Linked DNA regions of Neodiprion lecontei. The protein of the gene in region 1 purifies or fractionates together with the protein of each later gene. This does not show direct contact. Links are inferred from orthologs where the notes say so. Each region holds a gene or a part of one and is shown in the gene's direction. Other genes may lie near its edges.

Region 1 (6,602 bases):
CCTCCTCTAAACCCTACCGCCATACTCTACGAGCACCGCACGCACACTGATCACGGCTGGCTCGCCGAGAGTAGTTTGGATTTCCGACGAGAGGCTTACGTGCTCGCCTGCTAGCCTGCCCGTTAAACGATACACCGCTCACTTCGGACTCGTAGACGCGGGAGTTTCGAAAATCCATGATTTGGAAGAGAGATAATCGAACGCTTGTTTGCAACAATTACAATGTTCGAAAGCTGACGAGTTGAACATAGGTTCTGATCTAAATATCAAAGTCCACCTATCTCACACACGAACGAAGGATTAACAGCCCTATTTTGTACGCTATTTCGAACAAAAACACTCCAATACATTTTCATTTGATGCAGAAATAAAGAAATATATGGTATGAATTCTACGATTTGACTGTTCGATTTCGTAGAATCTGGGCCATTTCTTTATTTCTGCGTCAAATGAAAAATGTCTAGGACTGTTTTTGTTCAGAACTGTGTATAAAATAAGGCTATTAAGTATTTTTTCGTTTTCGAGATACGTGGCCTTTGATATTTGGAGATATATCCGTGAACGTTGAAATCGAACAGGGCATCTAGGGAGAAATAGAATATGATCAGACGTAACCGATTTTTGCATCACGGTAACATCGGTCTTAATTGGCATCGTAATTCTGTTTTTCTTCTTTCTCTTCCCTCGTAGGCTATCCTCTGTACCGTTATTCAGGATGAGAATAATACCGTGTGAAAAGCCACTCTTATTTAGGCACAGATAAAAAGTCTCCGATTGTTACTTGCAAGAATATCGATGATTAATGTGTTTCATAATTGATTAATTTTCCTTCATACGGTAGCTGTGATTAAAGATAATGAGTTGTAAAGACCTTTCGACTGTAAAATGCTCGATTGAAACGCTTGAAACGTTTGAAACTTTGACTGAAGTAATTATTCGGCCCCTCACTCTGACATCAGTCGGAGTTATAATGAACTAAGGCAGTCTAACTATACAGCTAGTCAATAAATATATATTTGCTTCGGTTACAGACAAATAAGAGTTGAAAGTCTATGGACGTCTTGATCAAGGGTTTCGATATTTCAGTTGTGGTTAAAATTAATTTTATTGTCAAAAAATGTAATATTAGTTATTTGAATTGAATATGATTTTATTATCAACGTATAGTGTATTTTTGACGTATTAGTTCGTTATTTGCGTAGTGAATGTGTGTTCTTTTTTTTTTATCCAAGTTAATATTAGACTGACGTAAAAACGAAGATGTCTTCTAAAAGGTATATATGTATATTTATTTAATTGTTTTCCTTTTTTTTATCTGGACCCGAATGAATCCTACCCTTATATGTATGCGTCAAAATAGTTCCAATTTTCGAAATGATGCCGACGATTCAAAACAATAATTAGAAAGACAGTTAAGCTGTAAATTATTCCAAACAATCTCCATTTCACTCGAAAATTACATATTTACAAATTAGCAATAACAGTACTATCGAAAACCTAAAATTGTTTTCTTTCTTTGTTAACCTTTGTCACTGTAAACTACTCTTCATTGCTTACTCCGTTCACAATATATTTGTTATGTTCTTCAACCGATTAAGTTGCATTAATGAATTTCATACATGTCTAGTCTGACTCCAAGGTCCATTCTCTCAAGGAATGAACTAACGGAAAAATATATTCCCACTCCAAACTTGCCTTTGGGTCAATCTTTATTTTACTTCTCAGGTTTTGCAAACAGATAGTATGTACGCAAATCTTGTCAAATATTTACAATACGTCATTCCAATCTCTAATGAACCACCTTTGATTTAAGTCCAACCTCTATGTCTGTCAAACATGACATTGGATTACTTTATTTTTAGAAACAATATGACAAAGCCATCTTACAATCAGAGAGATTAAAATTTTGAACAGACGCTAAAAAATTCCTTCTACCTTTACAGTGAGTTGAAAAAGTTATCCGAGGAAAGCTTGACACGACAACCCGAAGAGGTTTTTGACATAATCTGCAAGCTTGGTGAAGGGTGAGCGTTACTTTGAGAGAATTCTACTTAGTAATCTAATTATTAGTGTGCCATACTAATTTAGTATAATTTGGATGTCTTTTAAGATATGGCTCAATGTTTGTTTCAGATCTTATGGTTCCGTTTATAAAGCATTGCACAAAGAGAGCGGGCAGGTGCTTGCGATCAAGCAAGTACCTGTGGATACGGATTTACAGGAGATAATAAAGGAGATTTCAATAATGCAGCAATGCGATTCACCGTATGTAGTGAAATACTATGGAAGTTACTTCAAGAACACGGATTTATGGGTATGAATTGAATTTCGTGAGTTACGTGAATGTTATCGGTTCGAACAATGATAGTGAAATGATTTGTTATTACAGATTGTTATGGAGTATTGTGGCGCCGGTTCTGTCAGTGATATAATGAGGCTGAGGAAGAAAACCCTGCAAGAGGATGAGATAGCTACGATATTATGTGATACTCTTAAGGGTCTTGAATACCTCCATCTTAGGAGGAAAATCCACAGGGACATCAAAGCCGGAAACATCTTACTCAATACTGAGGGGCATGCTAAGCTGGCTGATTTTGGTGTAGCTGGACAGTTAACGGTGAAACAAATTAACAAAGAAACAGAAAAATTTGACACCTAATTAGACGGAAAGCAAAGAAAAAAAAAAAATTCATCCACATTTACTTACAATCAGTGTTGCGAATTTTAAAAAAATGTTGGCCCACTTGTTTATAGGATACTATGGCTAAGCGCAACACTGTTATCGGAACTCCGTTCTGGATGGCACCGGAGGTAATTCAGGAGATTGGATACGATTGCGTCGCGGATATATGGTCATTGGGTATAACAGCTCTAGAAATGGCAGAAGGAAAGCCACCATATGGTGACATTCATCCAATGCGTGCAATTTTCATGATCCCCACCAAACCCCCACCAAGTTTTAGAGAACCTGACAAATGGAGTGCAGAGTTCATAGAATTCGTTAGTGGCTGTCTCGTCAAAAACCCTGAAGAAAGGGCGACAGCCACTGAACTGCTCAGTCATGAATTTATAGGTAGTCGTACTGTGTTTCATGCAAGTAATTGAATTAAGTCTCAAGTCAGTAATTAATGAAACAACCCGAATCACGATACATGTAACTCAGGACTGCCTTGACATTTTTTTATAGTATGAGTTTTACATATCAAAAACAAACAAATTCAAATTTAATACCAATGACAATAAATATCTTTGATATACTTGTTAACAAAACTCAGGTTTTCTTTTACTTATATCAATTTCACTATTGAACTGTTGAAGGCAATGCGAAGCAGCCAAGTATCCTTAGTCAAATGATAGCGGAGGCACATGAAATTAGAGAAAAACAGACCAACCGAGCACACGTTATTAATAATGTGGCTATTAAGGGAAAAAATCATGCTGATGATTCGGTAAAAAATACTTCCATCTCGATTCACTACTCAACAATTTACAAAGTCAATTATTTTTTCACATTGCTCATTGAATTTTCTCACCTGAAGGACGAAGAAGACTGCAGTGGAACTATGAAACCCCTTCCAGAAGATGTCGGGACCTTGGTACCAGGTGTAGATCTCCCTGACACAGGCACTCTAGTTTCTGCAATGTTGGATCTAGGAACAATGGTTATTAATAGTGACACGGACACAGAAGCAACGATGAAAAGTGGGTATACTGCTTTTGACTTATGGAGCAAGACATTGTCTTCAAATGGTTAATTTACCTTCTACAGGGCATAACACAGGATCAGTGGAGTCTGGAAAGAAGTATCGTCCCTTATTTCTTGATCATTTTGACAAGAAGGAAGCAACTGAGATTGGCAATGTGAGTTCAAATTTATTGTAACTTTCTCAGTGTTCCGTTTTTGTTATGGAGTATTGGCACTTTTAAAGGAGATTTTGTTTCTTATTCTCAGGACAATGGCCACATTCTTGCCGCACATAGTACAGAAACAGAACCTAAAGTGGAACAACAGAGTCCAACAGAATCTCAAAGGTTTCAAAGCCATCTACAGCTACAACTCAATCAAATATCATGTCCTGTGCAAGAGCCGGCTCACAATAACATATCGAAATTTCAAAATGCCTTCACAGAACGAGACTTTGATTTTGTAAGTATATTCTTAAATTTTTCCCACTGTAAAGAATAACAAACTTTCTACTGCATAATTGACGTCAATAGATACATTTGGATCATGGGAAGACCCATCAGCTTCATTATTGAAATTATAACTAAACATGTTTCAATATAAATGTATTTAAAAAACGCAGTCATAGGCATCATAACGAAAATTCAATATAGATAAACAAGCATGTCCTTCAGCTGAAGTTCCTCTCATACGAGGAGCTGCAGCAACGCATGGCCAGCCTGGATGCAGAAATGGAACGTGAGATAGATGAATTAAGACGGAGGTACCAGACAAAGAGGCAGCCAATTCTTGATGCCATGGATACCAAGCGAAAGCGTCAGCAAAACTTCTAACGCTTCGGTATAGTTTTATTGATATACACATATTTTTTTTAAACTTTGTTTCCTAATTGTTTTCTGCTAGACGAAGTAATAGAATCGAGCGTGATAGAGAGATAAAAAGTGTGTACAGTTGTATAAATGAATGAATAGATTATAATTATGCGTTCTCAAAACCTAGTTTCACTAATAAAAATTCATTATATTCTATTTTTTAATACCTCATTAAAAAAAAAAGAACTGCAATAAAATTTCTCTAGTAATGAATATTTTTTTCGTGAATCTAGGGATCTACAATCTATTATAATATTATTAGTGTAATAGCGATACGTCACTCAATGTAAATTATTTTACACAAATTAAATATGGAATCGCAACTATACTTAATTTTTTTACTACATATGTTAACTTTACTTACTGTTATACAAACAATATTCTTATAGAAACATTATATACACGAATTAAATATAAAGTCAATTTAGAAAATAAATCGTGTCCAGTATCATCGGTTGATTCAAGTGAATCCGTTTTTTTCAATCATTGTTATTCATATTAAACCGAAAATTGTACTACATGCAATTACATTTTTACCATTTTACTATTTACCCAGCACATATCTGATATCACATTTTTTAATAGTAGTGGTGTCGTGATTTAAAAATTTACCGATGAAATATTAACATTATTTGTTCTTAATAACCCTTTGTCGCACTGTTTTACGATATGAAAGATTGAATTACTTTGATATTCAGGCACATATTTTTTTTATCCTCAAACCAAATGGTCACTGCTAAAGGTAACACTTTGAAAGTTATTTATTTCAACGAACACATGTACCGGCGTACTAAAAAACATATAGTTTGAGGTGAGTTGTTTTGTTTTTTCCGTTTGTACATAATATTGTGTACATATACGATTTGCTATTGGGATGCATCTAATACAACGCCGAGAGTAGCTAGATTTTTTACTCAGGTGAAAATACGTCTTATTCAATGCTGACCGAAGTTTTAAAAAAAAATCTTTTAATCTAGCAACATTAACTTGCCTTTATTTGATTTGCAGTATGACGCTTCAGGCTAATGTTTGCACGAGAAACTGTCTTGCCCGACGCCTGAGCATGCTTACATACATATGTATACCCATATCAACGTGTCGACATTGCGCTTCAAGCATTGTAAAACAATGGATCTCTGCTACCTGCACATCCCGGTGATCTTGCTGGCCAAGTTTTGTCCTTATGAAGGCAGAGAAGTGTATCGGATGGGTTTCGAATTGTCTTGAATAATATTGTTGCGTAACTTTCCCATGATCAGCTCATTTTAGAAGTATGCACTTTTAGTACGCGGTGAGTTTTTTTTTTAAATCGACAAAACAGATATCACCCAATACATATCTCGTAACTCAATAACTAGCATTTAATAGTTTTAGTTTGAGTGATTCTGCACTTACACTACCTACCATACATACCGATGTGCCAAAAAAAAAAACACAAACAACAAAACAAAAAGAAAACAACAAATAAGTAGAGATGGAGAAGGATAGATTTCTAATTTCGTATGGATAGGTAAGACAATAGATTCGCACCTCCCGTAGTATGCATAAGCTTTTAATCATTGAGTCCGTGATGCAGGAAATTTCCGGATTATAGTGAGATTGAAAACAGTTTCGTGTCACAAATGATGACAATGAGGTCGAGTATCTCAATTTATAAACTGGCAGTATTCATCGATATACTAATTACAAATGACTTATTCGAGTTTTTTTGCAATTGATTTGTCTATCAGGTTTGGAGGGATATCTAAATATTTGCCTTATTGAAGTAAATATCATCAGGTATAGCAGCACGAATCAATTTTGAAATAATGAAATATCAAATTGGAGTTATAAAAATAAAGTGTATCAACGACGTTGCACTATTTTTTTAGATAATAAATATGTAGTATTATATAGTTAACCATATAGTCAAACTGACATTAGTACACGTACTTTTTTCACTAAGAACACATAATCACGGATAGAATAATCTTGTATATTTTTATACCTACGTAGAAATCGTGTACCATTGTAAAGTTGTATTACTTTACAACGTCCACCTTTGT
Region 2 (7,796 bases), on another chromosome or scaffold:
TACTGCGCGGTTGTTTCCACACTGAGGAATTCGGCTAGCTGATTTTAGCTCGATGACGTCAAGAGAAAAAAAATTTTGAGTGACGTCACTTTCTGAACATCCTAACATCCAAACTTTTGTTTCGAACTTCAATACCATGTACGAAGTATGATGTATGATGTACGATGATATGATATGATGTAGAATGATTTTAGTTTTCACATTTCAAACAAGAAATACGCACTTCATCTTTCGTGCCGATTCCAGACTCATGCGGCTAGGCCTTTCGATGGTCAGCCGTTGACTAAAGATATATTCTTCAGTTAACGGGGGTGCTAATAACGCTGTCGTTCCGCGACAGTTGAATGATAAAAATTGTTGCTCGTACCTCTCAAATGTGTGTTAAAATACACTCAAAGTTTTAAAAAGCTTCGTTCTATCTCTCCCTATAAAAAAAAAGTCTTTTACAATCACCTTTTTAGGTTTTTAAATCAGGACACTGCGTTAAATACTGTCTCATATACGGAGCATCTCGATCAAAATTAGCGCATCCGTGATCTATTACAGTTACTCTGAATTTTTTTCTACACGAACACTTTTCGAGAAACAATTCTGCTGATCTACCCTACATAGATATCTCACTTGCGACTAGCTAAAACAGCGTTTCAATTCTATGCCTAGAAAATTCAAGATCGAGAGAGCAAATGATAAGTTGTTGGAGTAATTATGAATATCACTGTTATGGGATACATCGAGCGCGTGTCGAATAGAATAATTTTTTTATTTTAATATTGTAGACGTATTATTGTAGATAATCTAGTTTGTCTCGTGGAAAATTATAAAATTTATAGTATGCATCACGTATGAATCGTAAATGGATCATATACCTATATTAATATCGTACATGGACCGCATATACATATGTATTTTTTGGTCTCTGCATGATTATTACATCTGATCTATTGTTATTTATGATCCATGTATACATTCCTCTCTCAGGTACCTATACTTTAATTAAATCACTGTTTTGCTACGAATTTTGGAAGAAATTTATTCTCATTATTAACTTCTTGTATCGCCGGCTTGGGTTTACCATTGGGAAGACTGTGTTACTCGGAAGGTGAATGCAGCCAGCATCATGTCGAAATCGGTAACTCTGATGTTCTGCAATAAGTTCTCAACTCTACCGTTGGACCATCTCAGGGGACGCAAGCGCACAACGATTTTCGTTTTTCACACCAAAGCCCATCAGGGCAACAGTCTATATTCTTCAGTCAACACCCGACGAAAACTGGTCACAAAAATTTAACCAGGGATATCCGTCTTTATATTCTTCAGTCAATGGATCAGCGTGCACAAAATGTGTACGGATGAATTTTCGAAAAGCATAAGCATCAAATTCCAACCGTTCTTTAAAGAATAAACTTTCCAACTCAATAACAAATGCTACCTCAACCTTTCCGAGTCACTACCTCAATTATTTAAGATTCTAACCTCGAAAATTCGTACAAAGTATACCGCCAACAGAAATAGTTTGACAATTGAAACTCGGGATCATGGAGACTTACTCTAGTCTCCATGCTCGGGATGGCCAGCCTGAATGAAGAGCCGACAAGACTCGCGCAAGCGCAGTTGATTTTCAACTTTCAAGAGATTTTCTCGGTATACTCACCTGGTTGCGTCGACTTCAGTGGCGTTGACTGAAGATATCGTCCACGGATATTTAATGAGAAATGGCTGCGCGTGGGCCGCGCAGCATTCGAGTTGCGTGCGCATGCGCAAATGGGAGGACAACAGTGCAGTGACGTACCGCGTGTCATTTCAGATGCAGGCTCGACTCTGGTCTGTATGTAATTTTGTAAACAAAATGCAGTAAAATATCAGTGGTATATCTTGATGAACAATTTTTACCGTTGTTAACTGCGATTATCAACATGTGGAAGTGTCACAAATGTGGAAAACCTGTCTACTTCGGTAAATATACACATAAAAAATGCAAACGCGAATATTCACCAGTTTTTTTTATTTTTTTTTTTTATTTCTTACACTCTGTCACTTGAGTAGACAAACTCCAGAGTTTCGTTTCCTCACTCTTTCCACATCTATAAGTCATAGAGTATGAAGAAAAGAAACATAACAAACCTGATTTCACACATTTTTCTGGTAGTTTGTAAATATTCTTCTGATGCACAGCAGGGTCTCATTTACAATTCAAGGTAGTAAGTGGCAGGTCATTGCACTTTGTTTTAGGTTATGTCTATTCCATATAGTGATGAGGATTGTTTTTTTCCTTAGTTTTTTCTTCTCTTTTCTTTTCATATTGTATGATCTTCCAGCCGAGCGGAAACAATCTTTGGGTTACGACTGGCATCCAGAATGTTTACGGTGCGAAGAATGTGGCAAACGATTAAATCCTGGACAGCATGCTGAGGTGACAATAAGTTTTTCATGCTGGAATATTTGCAGTTGAACAAAAAAATATCCTCATTACGTTCCCGTTCTTTCTGCATTTCAGCATAAAGGAGTTCCTTACTGTCATGTACCCTGTTACGGGGCTCTCTTTGGGCCCCAGTTATTCGGACACGGCACAAGAGTGGAATCTCATACAAGCTTTGGGAAGAAAGAATCTCGATCAACGTTGCCCAGGTAAAATATACTCTGTTAAGCGATTCTAGATTAGAGTCTCAAATTATAAAATTATTCCATTTTTATTTGAATAAAAAACTTTGTTGAGATGGAGTTAATTAAGAGCAGAAAGCTTTAGAATTCACGAAGAAACTCCAAGTGTTTTGAAATGAAAACTTTTTTCATGTGTTAAAAGGGAATTTGATATGAAACAAGTCAGCAAAGAACATAAGTGTATGATAAAAAATCTTCAGAATGACAGTATTAATCATTTTGAAGTTAGTAACATTATGGTAACAATTTAGCCTGCTTAGGAAAACCATTATTTCGCAAATTTTAAATTGTCTGTAATTCACTGTACTACTGAGCAAGATATGCTGGTGTTTTGAAAATTTAACTCCTTTAAAGTTATTGCAAAATTGCAAAACAGATAATTTTTTTCTATGTTTCATTCCAATAATAACATTATTAATTTCAATTTCATTGATATTATGAGTTGTGTGTCTGCTCATGGAATATTTGGGTAAAACAATTGAAACAAAGTATTTAGATATTCGCAGATGTATAATTTGAGTAAACTTACCATTAATTCACACTGTGTGATTGACTCGAAGAATTTTTATCTTATGCCAATTGTATGATAAATTTCACATCATAGAATACGTTTTCCTGTAACGGCTTAACGCAATTGTGAAAGATACAGTTTAGAAAAAACGAAAAAAAAATTCAGTCTGTGAATAAAAATAATTCTATAGTAGTATTCCTCTGAAAGCGACTAGAGATTATAAATGATGTAGATTGTACTTGTTTCTTGAGAAATTAAAGTTTCATGGACTTTTTACTCATACCATTACTTGTCCTTTTTGTTTTGTAGATTGTCATGTGATAAGCTGAGTTCTGTATGTTTTTTTTTTTCTGAATGTGGGAAACCGCAATCCACATTAATCAATAAATTGTATTATGATTTTTCCTTGTATCTAAATAGTTCATTTTCACATTTAGGTCTCATTTAGAATCAAAGTTGAAGTTGTTCAATCAGTATTATGAGGGTAAAAGTGGTGGGATCAGAAGTCGTGAGGTTTGTGAAAATTCTTTGAATACACATTTTTTTTTTCCTACCTTCGTAAGTATGCCAAAACAGATGATTGATTCTTTTTCAACTCAGGTAAATGGCAGATTAATACTGGAAGGTGCACTGAGAATTCATTGGGGAGTTCGAGGCGTTATCCACCTTAAAGAAGATGATGATCAGCGCACAGTTGTCACTGCAAGAAATCGAAATTCTTGTAGACAGAGTGTTTCAGAGGTCTGAAAAATGTATAAAAGTAATCCAGAATAACCAAAACTAAATCAAAAATTAACGTTTGAGTTCTTTTTCAGGATGGAGGAGATGACGACCAAGTAGATGCCACGTCGAAGGATAGCTCCCCACCTGAGACTGAAACTGAAAGTGAACCAAACTCAGTTCCAGTATCTCCCGATCACCCGAAAAGTCTTACACTTCCGATGAAACTCGACGTCAAAAATATGGAGTGGGATGAACTAGATGAACTTCTTCAGGTATTAAATATCTCGTAATTATAAGCGTGAATTAGAGATAAATCTTGACCGTAAAAAGAATGCTTTTGACCCATGAAATGTATAATATACGTAATACAAAAATGTGTTTACCGACTAAACGCATGTACTCACTCGATTTTCAGGTGGAGAGGAAGGTAGAGGAGGGCAACAAGCTGTATCAAACTATGCCAGTTGGCTTGCCATCAATTAGCTCTCAACCCGGTGCAGATTCGTCTGAGGTGAAAGTTCACTCTACCGTTGAAGGACATGTAGAAAATGTTGAATCGAGTAATCTGTCTCAACAAGCTGTGAAACATATCGTCGACAATGACAGCAGTATAACCAGCACACCAACGCATAGTATGGATAGTTCATCTAGTACAGACACGCCAAACTATCAAGGAACACCGAACAGAAATGGGACCCTTCGTCGTGTCGAGTACTTTGATAGTTTAGAGAAGAATATGGGTGCCAGTAACAGAACTTTGAGCAATGATGATAGCTGGATCGAAAAGGGTTTGAATCGTTCGATGTCCGGTCCTGATTGCTTGCAGAGACATCGCACGGACAGTGACACTGATTCAGTGAATTCTCTTCATTTTCGCGACGACGATAACATGACAATGTCGACCGACAGTGGGTTGGAAGTGAGTATCTTTCAAAAGGCTTACTCCTACTTGCGAGCAATTTAATTGATAGGAATATAGATGGAGATAAGATACGATCGACCGGTCAACAGAGCCAATGAATTCTTGAGTATTTTTCAGCTGGACGGAGTTGTTTTGCGGCGTAAGCCGGGATCGACTGCCATAAGACGTCGACCAGGTGGAAGACGTCAGTCACGTAGTCGGTTAAGGAGGCGATGTTCAATCAATGGTCACTTCTACAATCGAGAAACGAGTTTTTTTACGCCACCGCATGGATCACAAATGTCTGTTTGGGTGACAAGTCTGGTTAGCACTCAAGAGGTTATAAATTTGATGCTCGACAAGTACAAAGTGGACGCTAAACCGGGCAATTTTGCACTATTCGTCGTTCGTGACAACGGCGGTAAGGGATAAAAAATACCTGTTCACGAATTATTACACATTTGGCAAACCCATATCGTGAAATACAAAATTTCAGAACAGCGAAGATTGAGGGACGACGAATATCCGCTGGAAACGAGGGTGGTACTGGGACCCCATGAGACCGTTGCTCGGCTCTTTCTTGTCGATCGTTTCTCAACTCCGGAAATCAGTTCCGACGTCGCGCAGTTTTTGAATCTCTCCGCCGCTGAGTGTTCAGGCATTTTACAACGGTATCATTATGAAGAGGACCGCCAAATAGCTCTCCTGAAAGAAAAGTGAGCATATTTGCGTTGCCCCGAAAATCAAACTCTTTTCGTCTAATATTTAAATCAAGGATGAGTACCGAGTACAATGTCGTTGTACTTAAAAATTAAGAAATCAGAAATAGTTCATATTGTTCACTTGCTTATCTTTTTCAGATACAAAGAAATGAGACGGAGAATAATGCAACGAATGGACGAGCTAAAAGTTCGACTGTAATGGGATCTGAAACATGATAAGTATTGTAATGATCAAATAACTCAATTGAAGAGAAATTTATATGAATAGTTTGTAGGTTTTTTAATTTCATCAAGGATTATACCTTGGGCATAAGCCATGTTGGTTACCTTGTGCTCATGTTTCAAAAATTATTCAATCTTTTTAATACATACCCACTAATATTATTATTAATATTATTGTTACTATTGCCAGTTTCGTCGACTTGTAAATTTCGAAAACGTTCCATGCAATTGGATACTTTATATATCTAAACTATCGAACAGTATTTAGTTCATAGATAATATTGTCTGTTTTAATTTTTTACTCGTATTCTCTATTTGTCCGTTATATGAGATTTGCATCACTATATACCAGTGAACCGATCAATAGCTGATACACTTTACGCTTCCGCTGTTAGGTTGGTGCGTAGATTTTTAAACTAATTTTAATGGATTTTCTCAATTCCACCCCTGTAGCGGACTTATTTAATAATAATTTTTGTTTATTTGATTTTTTACACGCTACTCATGAAAATGATCGTAGAAAATCAATTGAACATTAGGTAGCTCTATTGAATTAAGAATATGTATATTAAGATAAGAAAATGACAAAAAAAAAAAAACATGAAACAAAAAATGACAGCTGTTATATGAAGTTGCCAAGAGCCGAATGTCGTATTTAATTTTCATTTTAAGATTCGAACAATTCCTGTTAAAATTTGATAACAGTCTTTTAAGGCGCAGACAATTACTCTAAATTTTATATACAGAGTTTGTTTATATGCATGTGGGAAAACATTTACAAAATTCTAGAGAATTCCTTATCTAACCGAATCTTAATAATTTGAATTGGAACCTGATGCGTTTGTTCTAAATTAGCTGTGATCGATTGTGGATAATTATACTTACATTATTCGAAACCCTGTAGACTGTACGTAATCTCAATTATATGAACATTCTGGACGTGGTGTGAATGAATGCCTTTCGTCATTTGGTGCTTTTCCTGCCTACATTCTTCGGCTTGCAACCGAGAAATGGTTGAAATTAAACCGTTATTAAGACTTTCTTGCAAATACAGTCTATGAGTTGCCTGACGATTGTTTAACTACAGTCTTAAATCTTGTGCAACGAGACATATTACTCGCGAAGCTGCTTGCTTAAAAACTTTGCTAGAAGACATTCTGATTGCTCGTTATCTATAAATCTTGTAGCATGTAGCGATGACTCATTGTGGCATTTCAAAATGTTGCGACAATGCAGTTTCTTCCCTAGATATTCGTTTTATGTCCTCACGATATGCAGACATATATTTTGAGCAAAAATTGCGAGAATTTACACAACATATAGTTATACGTATGATACCTAATTTTTATAAGAATTTTTCTGTATAGACCAACTTCTTCTGAAATTTTCTCAAATTGTGATCTAGAGTATGGGTGTGCGTGCATTTGATTGTGATTGTGATTGTGTAGCTTTGATTTAAATTTGAGTAAAAATATTTCCTTGATCTAACTAGCCCAATTTTGTACAATGATATCTATACCAATTCTTTCCTCCTAATTTTCGGCTAACATTAATTATTGGCAAGTAGTATTAAATTTCTTTACATTTCATGACAAAATAGTTAAATAGTGTATATTTAACACGGTACCATGACTTTCTTTTAACGAATTACGTTTCAGTACTATATGTAGATAAACGTAATTGGCATTAATAAAAATATCAATAAATTGTAATATAATTATATCACGGACAATATTGTACGTCTATATAAGTTGAAAAGAAGTGTAATAAAGTAATGCATTTGCCACTCATCTATATAGTTTCAATGTGAGACCCAAAATTTTTTCAGTTGTTATTCAACAATCACATTATCGCAACGGTCGCTATACAGTAGAAGAAAAAATCGACGATCTCCTGAACCGGTGTCACATTTTCGTACTATGGCATAGTTTTAAACGATAACGTAAGGATGCTGAAATACCTTTGAATATCTGCAGTCAATACTGTGCCCAGACCGATGGTTTCTTCAGTATTGTGCAAGCCGCCAGCAGTCCATTTTGTTGCACAAATTTACTACACA
Region 3 (7,975 bases), on another chromosome or scaffold:
CGTGTTGCGGTAATCAATATATCTACAGCCGAAAATTCTTGAAAATATTCACTACTGCATGATGAGATTTACAACTTGGTCGTTCGAATAACAGTTCTATGGTTATTTATCGAATAGGTATTTACAGCCTCTGTAAACTGGTTGATATACCCACGTATTGCTTCTATAATACCTGGCGGACATGATATTTGTGGTTTTCAGAATTTTTTACGATATCTGTAACTAATCGCCTTGCCACTAATTCGAAATAATTACTGCAGAAAAAAGAAAACCACCTAGCACACGAGAAAACAATAAAACGTACAGGTTCGTTTTGACGTTAACCAATCAGAATTTTACAAGAAAACCGATTACTATTATTTTGAAAATTCATCAATCAATTTGGTTTCTTGCCATTTCTTTCAGATTGGATTGTAACGGAATTTTAATTTTACTCGTCATGTGATATACAAATTCGGTAGGCCAATCCATTTCTATTCCATTTTACATGCAAATTGAAATTTACCTCAAATGAAGATGATTACGAAGATTAGTGCTTTTATAATTTTCTATTGGTTGCTTTCTTTTTTCAAACCTCGTCAATCCATGAAGAAAGATTCCAAACATTTGCACAGGTCGATTCAGATTGATTTCCTCATTACGCAATACGTTTTTTTTTAAATTTCAAATTGGCAGACATCAATATGAATCTGTTTTAATACGTTTCAATATTTTTTAATTTATTGGATAATCGCTTGTAGAAACTTCGGAACTGATATTTTTATTCTCTATAATAACGTATGTTATGTTGAACTATCTATCCAACTTTGATTACAACCGCCATCAATTCGGATTTTTTTTAACTGCTCGTGAAGTAGTCAAAGATTGCCAATGATTTCTGAATGAACGGAATCAACTGATGAAGAGTTATAAGAAAAAATAATGAAAAAAATAAACCGCAATGTAGGCATTCCATAGATCCTCGATCCTACATATCCAATTCTGCAATTGAATATGACTGTATAATTTTTAATTCTTAGAGTTGTTCATGTTAAATAAATGAGACATTACATTTATATGGTCAAAACATTTATATAGCCGTTTTATACATATGTAAAAATAATGCAAATTTCTGAATCTTTTAGCTGTAAGTATGATCAAACTTTTTTAAATTTTCTACTGCGCTACCCAGGCAAGATCAAGCGTAGCATTATTTGAAACTTGTACAGTTCATCGTAACATCAAGTAACCATATTATGACTACGGGCAAGCAATTGTGACGATGGCGTTTTATCGAACATAATTGTCTTAAAATTTAAATTCAATTACGAAAAACGTAAAAATACCAATTGAGGCAGCACCAACTGCGATCAGCATATGCAGACGCGAGCCGGCATCACATGTTTACAGGTAAGTGTATAACCAGATAAATAATGTTCTAGGAAATGATATACAATCATATACACAGGTTACCAGATGGAAATTCAGTTGTAATTCATTACAGAACGTGTTAAATATTTTCGCGGAAGCAGTTTCGTAGTCCAATTCCATATCGTGTCAAAATTGATTTCAAATTCTCCCGCGACAGGTAGTCATAATAGTATCTAAACGACACACCCCATCGAACCGTTGCAGAGTTGAAGCTCCGCCAATAGCTGACAGACCAAAATGAAAAGTAGTTTCATTAATTTTCATAGACTCTGATCATAAGTTGACGGATATCGGTACTTCCCTCGATTTAATTACAATAATTAAGGGCAAAAGAAATGATCGTGACACTTACTGCAAAGTTTCGCCACAAGAGTATACTTTGAATCCGATTGGCGGGCCGAAATAAAAATGCTTTACGATTGGCCAGAGCGAGACAGCCTAGTCGATCCAAACCGAATCTCGGCGAGCGATGCCGAGCGGAAGAATTTAAACGTGACGTCACCCGATCATCACTATTTGTCGGCCATTTTGTGAGTGTGTGGTTGATTGAGATATTTGTGTTGAAATAATACCGGAGCGAAATCGAATGGATTTAGTTTATTGATAAGATAGTTTCCCGTTGCGTTACATGTGCTAAGTGTCAACCGGGTATTGAACATTGCTTAGATCCAAACGATGGAGGAGAAGGCAGTGACGTCTCTGAAAGAGCTTGACCAATGGATCGAACAGTTGAACGAGTGCAAACAACTGACAGAAAGTCAAGTTAAAACTTTGTGCGAAAAGGTGAGCTGGCCGGAGATTTTTCACCCCAAGTTCCTTCATTTCCCCGTTGACTTTCCTAACTTCTTTCCTCCCTGCCGACAATCTGCATCTCTATCCACGCCTATCGCGCCTCGACATCGCCTCCCGGCTAAAAAACCTTATCCAGCATTTTATTCGGTACACAACCCTCGCTTCTCCAAACATTTCACACCAAATCCTTTCTATCACCGATCGTCCCACGTCTTCTTAGGCGTATACGATTGGCCGATATGTCATCGAAAATTGATAGTCACTCACCTTGAATTACGGCTAACGACCAACGTCCCCCGTTCGCCGAGCTCGAATACACGGCGGATAAAATTATCCAACGATTAACCACGCCGCCGTTTGTTTTACACGGAATCGGATTAACTTCCACACCGCGAATTTTTTCCTCTTACTCGCTGCTCATTTTCCCTGTAAACCACATGTTATATTCCGCACACTGTAATAACGAGTAATTTTGTTTTAAACGATTTTATTATTTCTCTATGTATATTTTATGTACTGACGATTTTTTATTACACTTTTTATCATTTGTTTGTCGAATAACACATCGAACTACGTCATTCTGCGATGTCGCGATAAATTTTAAACAAATAGTAATGAATTCAACTTCGTTTCACGCTTCCAATAGTTTAACTTATTTTTAGCATTAGTAGATTAGCAGTAGAGGATTACATATTCGGTATTTCGTACGTCGGGCAATATTTTCTCTGGAATAGCAGATCTACGAAGAACATTCCTGCAATACAATTTCATCAACGCCTGTTACTAATATTTTATTCTACACAATCTTTCAAAGGTCGGTATCTGTGAAACCCTTCTGCTCACAGCTGACAACAGTCAAAATAAATGCGAATACTTTGACGTTTTAATACCCACGCTGTGCTCAGAAGATATTTGATACCTTGGATACGATTATTTTAGGTCAAATCCATAGTACGCTCCACTGTGATCATTTAAATACCGATTGGGCCGTTTTGAATAATATTATTACGTACTTGAGGACGAAAGACTTTATAGCAAATAAAATAAGAATTATTTGTATTATTCCTTTTCCAAATTCATGGGATACTTACTGTGTTACAACATTCAGATATTCCACTGTTTCTTATTGTCTAACTGCGGAAAAATTCCGATATTTTTCAACCCTAATAGTCATTAGTTAATTTTGTACTCGTAAACACTCAGGGACAGTAGATTATTAGTTCGAAAGTCTAAATAATCAAAGAATTCTTATTAGACAAGAATGATAGAAATCATTTGTAATCGTTACCTGTTGAAAATGGTCTTATGTAATTAATAATCCTCATTCTAGAGTCCTTATAAATTTCAGGAAAATCTTTGAACTTTCAGAAACAAATCTTATTGAATACCTTGTTTCATAATTAAGTAACATGTTTTTCGAATCAAGTTCAAGGTTTATTAGAACTATTTTATAGTATTAAGGTTCGTAGAACAAACAGCATTCAACAGAGTTAATGCTGAAAAATATTACATCATGACCCTAAAATTTAAAAAGAATTTAATGCCAATGAAGGTCAATTCAGATTTGTTCACATTTTTTTATCATGCCAGCGAACTTTTCAGCTAGCTCCGACAAGTTTTATAAAATTTCAATGTTCTTGCTAGAAGTTTCAAAAATATCTCTACTTTTTTTATTAAAAATATTTATTTAATTCACTATATTTCAGACAAATCTAAAGCTGTGACATGATGATTTTTCCAGGAAAATGGATCATGACCTGAACGTTACAAACTTTCACCTTATCATTCTTTGTACATTAAAAATTGATCTTGTGAAATGAAGAATCTTTTCCTGCAAACACGAAATAAGTAAACAAGTTGTATGGCCTTGCTGAACCACTTTGATAACTTCGAATTCTGTAGTGATAGGTATTTAACAGATTATCAAATGTCCAGAATGCAGTGTTGAGATAATTTGAAGAAGTGACTCAACTATTATGACAGAAAGAAATTTTTCTCATCGCTCAACTCTTTAGTTATAACTCGGTTCAATTCCAGAACCGGATTTAACGTATGTTTTACGATCATCCAAAACAAGTTTTACTTGGAATTCAGTGGACTGGTATATAATATGTCATAAACTTTGAGAATTAGAGAAAATATCCAGATCTAATCATGTTGATATTAGTTTCTAAAGATATTACATTTTCGTGACGATGATTGTTGTATAAACATAACCAAACAACAGTTCGTTAAAACAGTAAAATGATAAGTTCCTGAGCTTTGGTTGGTCATAAAAACGCCTCTCTTTGTTAGATAAAATTTGAATTTTTCATTAAAAGAAAACTACGACATGGGTAAAACTGTGTGATTTCCCACTTTTTGCAATTAATAATTGTTGACCTTTTTAATAATTCCACCAAATATTGTGTAGAAATATGTTTCGAATTTTGAAAGTATAGTTTCACATCAAACCTTACTTGTTTGAGGGTTTATTTGGCTGAAGATTATTAAACTCGATCGGTAATGTGAGCTGCTTCGCAAGTTGTTCTATACTGTTTATGCTTTTTATAGCAGCACTGTAAGCATAAGCGTAAGCTACAAAAACAAACTTGTTGGAACTTTGGAATTTAAAACATTTTTATGTTAATGATCAGCTAGTGATAGATCGGCATCTTGTAATAATGTCAACTTGGCCATAGTTGCAGTATTTCTACAATGCCTGCAGTTTTTTATTATCGCAGGAGTATTTGTTTTTAAACTCTAGAAAAAAAATCAGTCAGAAATTTTATATGTACTATTCGAAGTGAACATTGATAGACTCCACATAATAAGGGGGAAAATTGAAAACTTCCACTTGCCTGTTGTATTTTCAAACTTGGAGCAGTTTTGTACATATTTTTTTTTCTCTTGCAAATTCAAAATCTATCATCCAGAGTTTACGTTATATTATTAAAACATACTCGAGTCATGACATAATGAAGCGTGTTTATAATAATGACTATGCAAGCATGTAAACATTGGAGAATAATTTGAGTCTGTTTTTTAATTTTCAGGCAAAAGAAATATTGGCCAAGGAGTCGAATGTTCAGGAGGTAAAATGTCCTGTGACGGTATGCGGAGATGTTCACGGACAGTTTCACGACCTGATGGAGCTGTTCCGAATAGGTGGCAAATCACCTGATACAAATTATCTCTTCATGGGGGATTACGTCGATCGTGGATATTATTCTGTTGAGACCGTTACTCTCCTTGTTGCGCTCAAGGTACGAGATCACCAGACATTCATTAGACGAGTTTGAGAAATATATTCATAATAATGAATGGTGGAGTGCAGTTTCGATCATAAAACTATATGATAAAGAAAGAAAACATAGTAAAACAAACAACACTCAGTATTTCCATGATGAGCACTTTGATCCAAGCAGTGTGAATTTAAGGTGAAATTGTTAAACAGTAACGAATCACTTCAACAATTTATTTGAGAAGATATTTTCTGTTTGCGCTTAGTTGTAATTAGCAATAAGCCTTGGTAAAAAATGCAGAAAAGAGTATTTTGATACTTCAATATTAAAAAGTAACCAGATTTTTTTTTTTGAGATTTATACACTAGTAATCTTTCTTAAGACTAAAGAAGTGAAAATCTGGTAACATCAAGGTAACATCAAAGTTTAAAAACTGTTCGATTAATCTTTGTGATTATAATTGTTATTGTGTTGTGATTATGGTAAAAAGCAAAGTAATAATTCCAAGATTGTGTAAACCATTTAACAGGTGAGGTATCGAGAAAGAATAACGATTTTGCGTGGTAATCACGAGTCTAGACAGATTACACAGGTTTACGGATTTTATGACGAGTGTCTGCGCAAGTATGGAAATGCGAATGTATGGAAATTCTTTACCGATCTGTTTGACTATCTGCCACTCACCGCATTGGTCGATGGTCAGATATTCTGTCTTCATGGAGGGTTATCACCTTCCATCGATACTCTCGATCACATCAGAGCATTGGATCGTCTTCAAGAAGTTCCGCATGAGGTTTGTACTGATATACTGTTCCATTTGGAGCCTTTTTATAATAACAACAGTATCAAATTCTGGTAATAAAAAATGGAAAAAAAATCATGATTTCCAGGGTCCAATGTGCGATCTACTCTGGTCAGACCCCGATGACAGAGGAGGATGGGGTATCTCGCCTCGTGGAGCAGGATACACCTTTGGCCAAGACATTTCTGAGACGTTCAATCACTCTAATGGTCTAACTCTTGTATCGCGAGCTCATCAGCTGGTAATGGAAGGATATAATTGGTGAGTTTCCTTTTGTAGCTAACAATAAGTTCTGTCTCCACATTAACCACATTAGCAATTCGACAAATTATACATGGAATAATAAATTGAGAGCAGTTCATCGGTTGGGAAACTTTCAATAAAAAAATTCATTCTTAAATAATAACTGAACTGTATGAATATACATCACATATTTTTCCAGGGTTCGTATGCACAGGGAAAACCGAAAAAACTCGGGGAATTTCTTACAGCAGGGAAAAGTCAGGGAGTTTTCAAAATATCACTGGAATTTTGAGTCTGTCGAAGAAATGAACTTGTTGTTATACAAAGTAGTATCGTACTTAAGAAAAAGAAAGTTGCACTCAAAATTTTTTTTCTTGCATCACTATACATTGTACATACCTCCTTACTTAGTACCAAACTATCTTTCGTTTGCTTGTTATGAAAACTCGCCGGCTGTTGTGTGTAAATTGATAGAGTTATTAGATAAACATAGTTACTAGGTAATATTGAAGGTATTAGTTTGAATGTAAAAAAAAATTGTCAGCAATCGGCGGCATATTTTTTGAAGGTTGCTGGAAAATTTCGATTTTCAGGCTGGAATACCTGTAAAAGTCAGGGGATTTCAATTTCCAAAAAATATACGAACCCTGCTTTAGTTGATAAGATGTTTCTCTGATTGTTGAATATCACTTTTGTTATTTCTACTAACCAATTTGTGATTATTTAATAATCTATAAAATTTTTCTTCCAGGTGTCACGATCGTAATGTTGTGACTATTTTTTCGGCGCCCAACTATTGCTATCGCTGCGGAAATCAAGCGGCGATTATGGAACTGGATGATGCATTGAAATATTCATTGTGAGTATAAGAGTTATGTAAAGTAACACTGCTGTAAAAGAATTTATTTCTAGAATGAAAATATTATCACTTTTTTTACGATTGCCATACTAGTTAGAAGATTCTAAAAAAAATTGAATTGGCTTGTATACAAGGTTTACCAGCATTTCAATAACAAAAAGAAACTTTCTCATTGAAAGTTATGGAAAAATCTGGAGAATTTATTTTGCAGTTGGGGTCGATAGCTTCGAGAGTAAACTCTTGACATATTGGAAATGCAAAAAGAATATGTAATAAAATATAAATTTCTTTGTTACAGCCTTCAGTTTGATCCAGCACCGAGACGCGGTGAGCCGCACGTTACTAGGCGGACGCCAGACTACTTCCTCTAAAGAAATTATAAAAAAAGAAAAAAACAGCCAAACACAAAAAGGAATGGAAAAGATAGAGCAGGAAATAATTCACGACAAACTGGAGGTAGTTGTTAAGGTAGGAGAACAGAATGGATTTGGCTTTATAAATATGCCAAGAACCCTAACATAACTTTATAATAGGAAGATCGGTGTGACTGTAGGGCTTTTGGAGCAAACCTTACATGCCATGTATAATGTCGCGTATTACCTATGTTACAGTCTTTTCAAAGTATCTCACACTTACGAAATGCGA

What was found. Proteins that work in one complex are often made in the same cells at the same time.
Region 2: the proteins of serine/threonine-protein kinase 3 (region 1) and ras association domain-containing protein 4 purify together in Drosophila melanogaster (affinity purification with western blotting; 6 studies listed by BioGRID, with this or other methods). This does not show direct contact. The link is inferred for Neodiprion lecontei from reciprocal best matches to the Drosophila melanogaster genes hpo and Rassf.
Region 3: the proteins of serine/threonine-protein kinase 3 (region 1) and serine/threonine-protein phosphatase 2A catalytic subunit beta isoform purify together in Drosophila melanogaster (affinity purification with western blotting; 3 studies listed by BioGRID, with this or other methods). This does not show direct contact. The link is inferred for Neodiprion lecontei from reciprocal best matches to the Drosophila melanogaster genes hpo and mts.

Annotation. Positions count from the first base shown.
Region 1 is NC_060261.1:34,662,761-34,669,362, reverse strand, and holds serine/threonine-protein kinase 3, read left to right. Parts: upstream 1-1,604; 5' UTR 1,605-1,619; coding exon 1,620-1,741; intron 1,742-1,943; coding exon 1,944-2,024; intron 2,025-2,133; coding exon 2,134-2,314; intron 2,315-2,389; coding exon 2,390-2,617; intron 2,618-2,754; coding exon 2,755-3,073; coding exon of another isoform or gene 3,074-3,076; intron 3,077-3,315; coding exon 3,316-3,449; intron 3,450-3,539; coding exon 3,540-3,702; intron 3,703-3,769; coding exon 3,770-3,861; intron 3,862-3,952; coding exon 3,953-4,147; intron 4,148-4,338; coding exon 4,339-4,518; 3' UTR 4,519-4,525; exon of another isoform or gene 4,526-4,885; intron 4,886-5,565; 3' UTR 5,566-6,054; downstream 6,055-6,602. UniProt on the Drosophila melanogaster protein: Plays a key role in the Hippo/SWH (Sav/Wts/Hpo) signaling pathway, a signaling pathway that plays a pivotal role in organ size control and tumor suppression by restricting proliferation and promoting apoptosis.
Region 2 is NC_060263.1:7,909,858-7,917,653, forward strand, and holds ras association domain-containing protein 4, read left to right. Parts: upstream 1-1,738; 5' UTR 1,739-1,913; coding exon 1,914-1,953; intron 1,954-2,041; exon of another isoform or gene 2,042-2,164; coding exon of another isoform or gene 2,165-2,195; intron 2,196-2,315; coding exon 2,316-2,410; intron 2,411-2,494; coding exon 2,495-2,625; intron 2,626-3,606; coding exon 3,607-3,682; intron 3,683-3,769; coding exon 3,770-3,910; intron 3,911-3,984; coding exon 3,985-4,164; intron 4,165-4,307; coding exon 4,308-4,811; intron 4,812-4,931; coding exon 4,932-5,214; intron 5,215-5,289; coding exon 5,290-5,509; intron 5,510-5,653; coding exon 5,654-5,714; 3' UTR 5,715-7,527; downstream 7,528-7,796.
Region 3 is NC_060262.1:7,959,852-7,967,826, forward strand, and holds serine/threonine-protein phosphatase 2A catalytic subunit beta isoform, read left to right. Parts: upstream 1-1,917; 5' UTR 1,918-2,085; coding exon 2,086-2,193; intron 2,194-5,237; coding exon 5,238-5,447; intron 5,448-5,955; coding exon 5,956-6,219; intron 6,220-6,316; coding exon 6,317-6,489; intron 6,490-7,222; coding exon 7,223-7,330; intron 7,331-7,628; coding exon 7,629-7,701; 3' UTR 7,702-7,742; downstream 7,743-7,975.